Schizosaccharomyces pombe: one gene and its partner. The gene in region 2 interacts genetically with the main gene of each other region. Each region holds a gene or a part of one and is shown on either strand. Other genes may lie near its edges.

The links. Genes that interact genetically often act in the same process or in processes that back each other up.
Region 1: mutations in SPOM_SPBC1685.04 (region 2) and SPOM_SPCC1494.08C together harm fitness more than expected from each alone (negative genetic interaction), as found in Schizosaccharomyces pombe (one large-scale study listed by BioGRID).

The regions. Positions count from the first base shown.
Region 1 is NC_003421.2:2,340,363-2,344,925, forward strand, and holds SPOM_SPCC1494.08C (uncharacterized protein), read right to left. Parts: upstream 2,273-4,563; 5' UTR 2,022-2,272; coding exon 1,197-2,021; 3' UTR 1,042-1,196; downstream 1-1,041. Other genes in the region: trm732 (tRNA methylation protein), read left to right, coding at 1-936; transcription factor TFIIH complex subunit Tfb6, read right to left, coding at 2,694-3,075, 3,144-3,235.
Region 2 is NC_003423.3:500,760-505,351, reverse strand, and holds SPOM_SPBC1685.04 (uncharacterized protein), read right to left. Parts: upstream 2,689-4,592; 5' UTR 2,480-2,688; coding exon 1,502-2,479; 3' UTR 1,159-1,501; downstream 1-1,158. Other genes in the region: vma9 (V-type ATPase V0 subunit e), read right to left, coding at 3,490-3,550, 3,617-3,667, 3,956-4,047.

The DNA.
Region 1 (4,563 bases), on a different chromosome or scaffold from region 2:
ATCAAATTAACACCACGAAACCAGTGGAGTCAAGTTAGAGCCCTTGCATTATCGTTACTTTCGGATTCCTTGAACTCTACAAGCTATAGGCTTTTAGGAATTTCATGTTCAGATATGGTTTCCAACATCCTTTCAAATGAATGCCTACCCATAAAAGAAAGTTTTATAGTATTATTGGGTTCATGCATCAAACAACTAAAAACCGAAAACTTCCTTGAGTACAAGGTAACCTTTGCTAAATGGGTAGAAATACTACTAAGTTATTCCAATGAATATCAGCCATTTAGCTCTCGAAAGGCCGCTTTGGATTCCATAATACATTTTGATTTGTTCAACGCAGAATCAACAGCTGAAGCGTTTTCTTTCGAATTTTATATTCTCTACTTATTACTGGGAGACTTCCTTAACGACGATGATGAAGAAATCCGATCTCTGGCTGCAAATCATGCTTATCAGGTTTTGGGGACATCTGCACAATGTGTAACAGAAATTTGGAATTTATGGAAGCTACGTACCAAGGCAACATTTGGAGGACAACACGATTTTCAACACTGCATCAATAAAAGATTGATACTTGAAGACGGTTGTGAATTAGCGTCAGTCCAATTGGATAATGCTTTATCGCGAAACTGTTCTTTGTTTGAAAGAGAAAGGCAAAATCTTTATTATTCAGACAACCAAAAGCTCGAAGATTTACTTTTCTATGCAAGCTACCCAAACGAAAAATTAAAGGACTGGGCCACTGATGGTATAAATGCAATTCTTAGCAGGTTCGAAGATGTATCCCGAGATGGGCCATTGGGTAAGACCTCGGACCCCAATGTATGGTTTACAATTTACAAAATAATTCGTATAGCCGAACATGTTCATTTACCGCTGGATAGAGTACACAGTTTAATGAATCGTATAGACGGACATCCTAGCTTTTGTCAATAATTCAATTCTGATATTTAATTTGATTTTGTTAATAATAAATATATTCCTTAAAGTGAATTAATAAATTATTTTCTTACTCTTACAATTTTTGCAACGATGGCTAAGGTAAATATTAGTATAAATCAACTTTTTTACACGGATGAATAATTACAACAACTTGGCAAACGTTATTATCAAGAAATGTGGTAACGAAAAAATATCGTATGCATATATACATATATAAATATAAACAAAAGTTCGAAAGAAAACAAAGGACAGCATTAGGGAAGTCTTTTGTTCAATACTTTCTCACTTGGAAGTACCCAACTTTTTTGCCTAATTTCCAATGATATTAAATCTGTATCGCCAGCGGCGTCTACAATATCAGCTATTTTGGGAGGTTCGGCCCATCCTGTTCCACCAAAGAAAATGTCGTCTACAATCTCTCTGGTGTCATACTTGTTATTTCGGGTATGCATATGGAACACAGTGGTTTTTTGATTGAAGTCCTTTATCGAATGAAGCATTTTCTCTGCCCAAGCTGAAGCAAGCCCAGTCGATGTGTATACTTCATCATCGCGCCGTTTTAGCTCTTTACCATCTGTCAGAAGACCCGTAAGGCCGCTAAATACTTGGGGTTTCCCAAGTGTCTTGCTTACTCTAAAGTCCTTATTACCGGATGTTTGCTTAAGGCTTATTCCAATACGTATAGTGGCATTGATTTTACTGTCAGCAAGCAAATATTTTCTAGTGTCTTGACCGACATAAACATATTCGGTCAAGTTGATCTTTAGAATACCTAGACGTATGACACCAGAATCTGTATGAGAATCACAAAGCACTTGTAAAATTAAAAATTTATCTTTTAAAAGGTTATCGTTGTCGATTATCATACGAACGGACACACAAGTCTCGTATTCCCATGTGACGCGATGCTCCAATACAGGTTCAGCCTCGGTTTGGTCATTGGCATGACGAGAATGGATTCCTTCAATATTCCATTTCACGAAAATGACTCCCGTAATTAACGGAATATTAACTACATCGTGGATCCTAAGGTGAAGCTCAAAGGTAGGTCGACGCGCCTTTGGAATAAATATACTCATAAAAGCTGCAAATGCAGTTTCCTTAGGAAATGCAAATAAAAGATTTAAGAAAAAAAGCAGTTAATTTAGATAATTGGTTCATCCAACTTTTACCTATGTACAGAATGCTCCAGCGTTCAATTCTTGAAAGTTCTTAGATTTAATGGATACAAAACACGTTTTTCATACAAAACAATAAATAAAACAGTGAAAAGAGGAGATAGGAAACTAAAAGCTGCAAAACAAAAAAAACCCGTTTTAGTTGTTGAGGTGAAATTTCCTTCTGACGTATCGAATCGCATACTGTAAATCGCAGGTAACGAGATCTTCCGTCGCAGGTAACAATAATATGAAAACTCCAAAAATAAACAGTAGAAGTCGATTTCTTGCCAAGTATAATTATTGTTTTCGTAAAGGATGAACAGCAAAGAGAACATACATTAACTCGCTATTCAATCTCAAAGCTCACTTTCTGGATTTGGGCAGAATGGAAGACTGAAAAGACATTTACGGCAAGATGAATGTGATTAAAAAGAAGAGCGGGTACAAAAATATTATAATCTTTCCGAGTTGATGGTTCTTTTTTTTGACGTTGCAATTGTTTTAAAATACCATCGAAGTCACAAATGGCTACCAAAAGTTATAGAAAATTAGTCAGTAAACGGAGAAATAATGACGGGGAGAACAAATGCATTAAAAATCTATGCTGTTCAAACTCTTCTCAAAAATAGAGGCACAATCCATTTCGTATCCTTGAACGTCGCTCAATTTTGAAATAACAACCATACGGCAATTCTCCATCAGACTTTTTAACCGTATAGTATCTGTAGTAGAAAGATTTCCCGATTGTATGAGCCTTAAGCAAAGAGAATCCAGTAGGGAAAATACCTTAAAAGTTGTCTCTGGGGAGGCCGGAAATCCAACAATAGTGTCGACAAAAAAGTCGATACCTCGTAGAGTGAAATTGGTTACGAGAAAAGTATGCTTTTCCAAAGGAATAGAAGATACCACCTGAAAGTATGGTTCCAAATCAAATGCTAATTCCTCTAATTTTTGATAGCCACCGGGATGGAATCTAACGATACCAATGTTAGCAAATAAAAAGAGTGAAGAAGACTAGGCAAAACGAATTGAAAAACGTACTTCTTTTGGTATTTTTGAGACACGTCTAATAAAATCTCATCCAGAAAGTCGCGCAACTTGTTTAATTGGTGCTCAGTTAATTCAAGTGCCATAGCTGAATATAGAAACAGAAATTCCCTTTCCAGGAAAAAAAAGGGTCAAGCGATATTGATAACGAACTAAAGATCGGAAATTAAGTTGCTAATTAATAATGCAACAACTAAATATACATGAATAACTATCTAAAAAGTCAAGGAAGCGTATAAGCTTATACAAAACAAAATTTAGTTTCTGAAGAAGAGTGACTAGGGAGAATAAAACTCAATATCGACAAGAAAAGCATTAAAACCTTATTTATCTAAAAAATCAGTGAAAACAGAATTCTGTTCGCTTTTCTATATGACGGTGATGTTTGGAGAGGAAAGAGAGTCAATGACGACGATTTAGGGGTATACCCATTTATCAACATTAACCTTCTACAAAAAAAGTTCTTGAGATAGGGCAATTTTTTGGAAGCCGAAAACACATTTTTTATAAGAAAATTGTCTGACCACCACCATAAGCTGAATTTTCTCATTATTATCATTTTCAATGTACCCTCTATAAAAGAATATTTATTGAAATGTCATCGGGTATTATGATTTAGCATGCTTGCCTTTATTCTGTTTACGATTATATTTAGGCCAAATATGTCAGGCGAGTAAATGAAGTAAAACATAGCAATGTTATTTATTTAGAAGGGTAATTTATCAGACGGATCTAATAAATGGAAGCAGTAATCGAGATTCCAAGTTGGTAATGAAGAAATTTCTTGATTACTATCTATAGGCAACTAGCTCCTCTTGCTTAGCAAGTTTTTAAATAGCTAGAAGTCATGAATAAGTATCCAACGATCCTTAACTAATGCGAGAAAATAGTTGATCATAATCGAACGATGCGAGCTAGATTCTAACAAAGGTATAAAGGGATATGATAGTAAAAGCGGAACGTGAAGCTTGGTCGATTAAATTCAAATGAGCTACTTAAGATTATCTGTAGCAAGCTGTTTACTTTCGGAAGGTGACTTAGTCTTTTGCCTTTCGTTTTGCAATATACAGAATATTAAATTATTTAATCTTCATAGCTGATATCTAACGTATATCGACTAGTTCAGTAGCTGTGATAACGAAGTTTAAACATATCTCAGTATTCGGATTTGGTTTGGAGGCACACACTCAAAACCGACTATTTACGGCTTTATTACTACTTTTTTGCCTAAGCCTTTAATATATCGATATTTGAGAAGATTCAAGGAACGAGAAAGAAAATTTTGTTTTTAAAAAGCATCGAGCCTCTCTGACTGCTACACTGTGCATTCAATTTGAACTACATTAAAGACAACAGCAGCGCTATCGTTTGAGCATAAGAGCACTCGAATTTTAACGACAATACTGAATTCTTA
Region 2 (4,592 bases):
ATAACGATAATAATTGCAGACGGTGGCTTGAATAGTTTGCAGAAATCCTTTCCAATTCAGAGATAAGAAAAGATTAGCCTTTATATCTTTTTTTTTAATTAATCAAACGAAAATGACAGGAGTAACGACAAGTAGAAACAAAATACACACACAAAAACGAAACAATAAAATAAGTAATCAAGTGTATGAATGAGAAATTTTAAATCTTGTAAGCCGTAAAAAAAACGAAAAGATTTTAAAAATTCCCAAACTCCACTGTATGGACAAAAACGAAGCGAAAAGAGAATGGGATTTGCAAGAATAGTTTTGATAAGGTCAGTAGCAATCGGGGAATGCTATGATAATAAGCGTAGAACAATGATCTCCCTTTCTTTTCTTTTGCAGATAAGCTCGATCCTGAATTTTAAACTACGCAGTTAAAAGTAATATTTGCGATATGATGTCTAAATTTCGCTATTGGAAGATTCTTGTTTCATTCGTTTTGCCCATCGGCAACGCGGGCTTTCAATTCAATATATATGTAGGTGAACGATGTTTGCTGTAATAGTTAACTTCACTAGCGTCTCATACCACCAGCAGACAAAGTGCGTGGCAAGCCGTTTGATCAACAATTCTATTGCTCGATGATTTTTAAGAGTGATGTCAAAGTCCGAGTGCGGCAAAAATAAGACAGCGTAGCTTTAGAAGTGATTTCGATGAATTTCACTCAAACGGAGGATTGCGACGAACAAGGAGCCGCAATGTCGTTTGTTCAAAATCGGATTTCTTGGTTCCGTGACATTTTGCAAATAAGCTAGAATCCATCTTCATACGACTGTGTCGTATTGAATGGAAATGGAAAACTGAAAGAATGGGTTCGAAATGGAAAACGACATTCTGAGGATGTTTGACAGAATCGGTTATGTGAACCGAAAGTGAATGTACGTGGTATTAGCGTAGAATTGTTTGAAAACTAAAATGGTGTTACTTTTTGAAAACTGTTTCGTTTGTAGTAGGTTGATGGTTGAACAAGACAAAACAAAGATTATTAAGGTAGCTTTAGATTCAGGGATGTTTATTATGACAGTGTTTGATTTGGGTAGGAGATTGACAGTTTAAGTATGGAAATAGGCATTCAATAGCATATTTGAATTGAATCACTAATGAACTCGACTCGCATTACTTTAACATTTTGTCATTTGTTGTGTAGAAGAGAGTTTGAGAAGACAAATCAAAGATGATCAAAGTTGGTGTTATTAAATAAATATCATGCCGAAAATACAGCTGAAATAAATATTATATACGATTTTAACGATGTGGTGCTAGATGAGGCTGAAAATCTGGAGGTAAAATCATGTATGAAATATATATTTCTCCACAATTAACAGGTATCTTGAAGCCGTGCAGGGTAAAAGTAGTAAGGCTGTCGGTCAACACGCCAAGGAATGCATTGTGCCATTGAATGACCATATTTTAATATTAGAAGGTTGTATTGATAGTATACGGAATGAAAATTAAATTATTAGGAAGAAACGGGAGTCGAGGTTATCGCAGTAAGCATATTCTCAAAATATACAATTTCGAGCTCTAAACAAACAATGATTGGCTTCCATGTATTGGAGTCAGCAATCTGTCTCGCCGACTCCAAAGAGTGAAGAGTCGAGGTCAAGAGTGATAATACACTAGTGCGCTGAACGTCAGTTAATGGAGGCAAAGCAGCTTCTGATAAAGAAGTAGGCCCCAGTATTGAGATTAGTTTTGTTTCGACAGCTTGGATTTGATGGATCAAACGTTGGAAGAATTGCATTCCTGGAAGTGCTTGCCCGACCATTAGTCGCAAAAGATCTTCTCTTTTCTTCAATACTTCCATCCGTTTTTCAAGGGAAGATACATTAGCATGTGCATCATACTGCTCCTGCAGAGTTAAAAGGCGATCTTCCATACTGAGTGCCTTTTTCTTTTCTAGATTATCATAAGTCTGGAGTCGTTTTACAAGGGTGTTTCGTTGGTTCGTTACAATCGCCAACTTTTCCTGCAAAATTTGAATTTCCTCATCTAAATGTGTAATGCTTGTCTTTAGATTCGATATTTCTTCCGCTTTGTGCACCTCTGCCAGACTTGCTTTGGTCGATTCAATTTGGGATAAAATGTCTGTCTGCGAGTCCCAACGGCTCTTCAATTTCCTTTGCTGGCTCCTATATAAATCAGCGTTTTCTTGACAAGCTTGACACCATAACTGCAACTGCTCAGCGATGGCTTTTCGAATCCTGGTCAAGTCGTTGGGCTGTTTAGATTGAAACAACACTTCAGCCAGCTCATCCAAAAGCGATTGTATTTTCCTTTCCACTTTTGGAAAGGAGCCACTTTCTTCCATATTGTCAAAAAGCTCTAAGCTACGCGTTCTTGTCGATAAGCCAGAAGAAGAGGTACCTTCATCATTCAGCATCCCTTCATTAGACTTGTTTGGGAATTCGTCTAGCGGAATATATTCTTGTTTCATTTTAAAAAGGTATAATACACGAAAAATCTAGTAAATGCGTAAATTTGGTAAGTTCAACCCTTTTTTCTTCATAACAGAAAATTATATCGCATTCAACATCACTAGTGTAAGTTTTTCGCTTTTTTTATATACGAATCTTTATTTTTTCAGTCTTCCTATCTTTTCAAGAAACCAATCCGTTCAAAATCACACTGTAAAATGTATTTCTTAACTATCAGTGTGTGCAAATGTCTATGTGCTATAGTGGAACAATGTTGAATAGTCGCGAACTTGTGTTTATGAAGCCAGTAGACCTTTAATAACAATTCAGACTTTCTCTATCTCAAATATTTTTTTTAGTCAACTAAAATTGCGTATTAGGAGCGCCACTACTATCATGAACTTCAGTCCAAATATTAAACTAAACTTACAACATCTTAGAGTTTTTGGCACCAAAAAAACTTTTGAATATCCTGTTGTGTCTATTATTTCAATTTTTTATTGTATTTCTATATGATTCAGTATATTTGTAGCAAGGCTTTTGATAACGTAAATATACGTCGCCTTTCATACACACATCCGAGTAAAAGAAAAAGCGACAACCAAAAGACGGGGAGACCAATAAATCTAGTAAAATCAAAGAAAAGAAATAATGAAGGTATATCCTTTCGCAAAGATTAAATGCAATGTTGAAATCCACGTGAACCGACCTTTAAATAACGCCAGGTTCCAGCCATGACTTAACTGACTCCATATATATATTAAAATAAGAAACGTTTAAAGATATGGATTATAAAAATAAGAAATACTCAAACGTGTTTGATTTGTAATAATAATCGACAAACACCAATAGGATTTTAGAGACTAGAAAGTTGAGCCCGACGATCAGAAACGAATAGTATCAAAAAATAGGAAGAGGAAAAGGTTCAAAAGTAGATTCTAATTGGAAAGCTTGCAGTCTAAACGATAAGTAAAATAAAAGAGGAAGAATGTACAAACATTAAAAATCACTATGATTATACTAAACTTCATTACTCAAGAACTCGAGATGGAGCCTCTAATGGATGCAACTGTGCTAAATAAGTAATTGCCCTAAGAACGATGTTAGTAAAAAAGAAAAACAATATGGATGCATAAGAACACCACAAATGCACTAACCATAATAAATAGCAACAAGAAAAAGTAAGAATTAATGACATCTGCCAAGTACTAATTGAGAGTTAATAAAACTTTTGTTAAAGGAAGGAGTATGAAAATATAATACAAGCAACTGATCCCAATTCCAGATTGTCCATGTGCAGCTGAAGACAAGGCCTAAACAGCGCTACCTTGATTGGTTGCAAGAAAGACAATCACATATACTTTTCCATATCTCTAAACGAAAATGAAACGAAGTAAAAACAAGCTACTGATCATAACACAAGACTTTAAATGGGAACATAATTGCTATACCTCGATATATAGATGATTCACTCCAATCAGTAGCAAACTTCTTACCTAGTATTATTTCCCTTGGGCGAGACATAGTAAGAAACTACACTCATTAAGGCCGTCAAAAGGCCGACAAGTAAAACAACGAGACCACCCATTAGAATGCAAATTACCTACTTTCAATAAATGTAACTTGCACGTTAATGGTAAATTATCGAATGTGCGTCTCACATGAACATATACTGCAAATTAGTGACACCACGCATAGATAACGTAAACATAAATCAGGTAACAATAATCATACAAAGGCATTAAAAAAATGCTTAACATAGCCTTCCAGTTATATGAATACGATCCTTGAATAAAAAAATGCTCTTTAATGCTAGCGGACATCATAAAGACACCCTTCCTCCATTTTTTCTTATGAATTCTATTTATGGTAACCCTCAATCCATTACGTTAAACTAAATATTTAACAAATTTACATTACCGTGTTTACTATAACGCATCAGTGTCAGGCTCCCAAAAATTCTGTACTTTCCAGATTCTTTGAATACTATTATGGACTGGTTAGTTTCAAAAGAGATTGTATTAATTATTTTCTTAACTTCAAGTAGTACTCGGAAATCATTCTTCTCACTAGTTTATAAAACCACCGAGCACTTATGCAGAGAGTAAACTAACACATCCAATAATTACATCC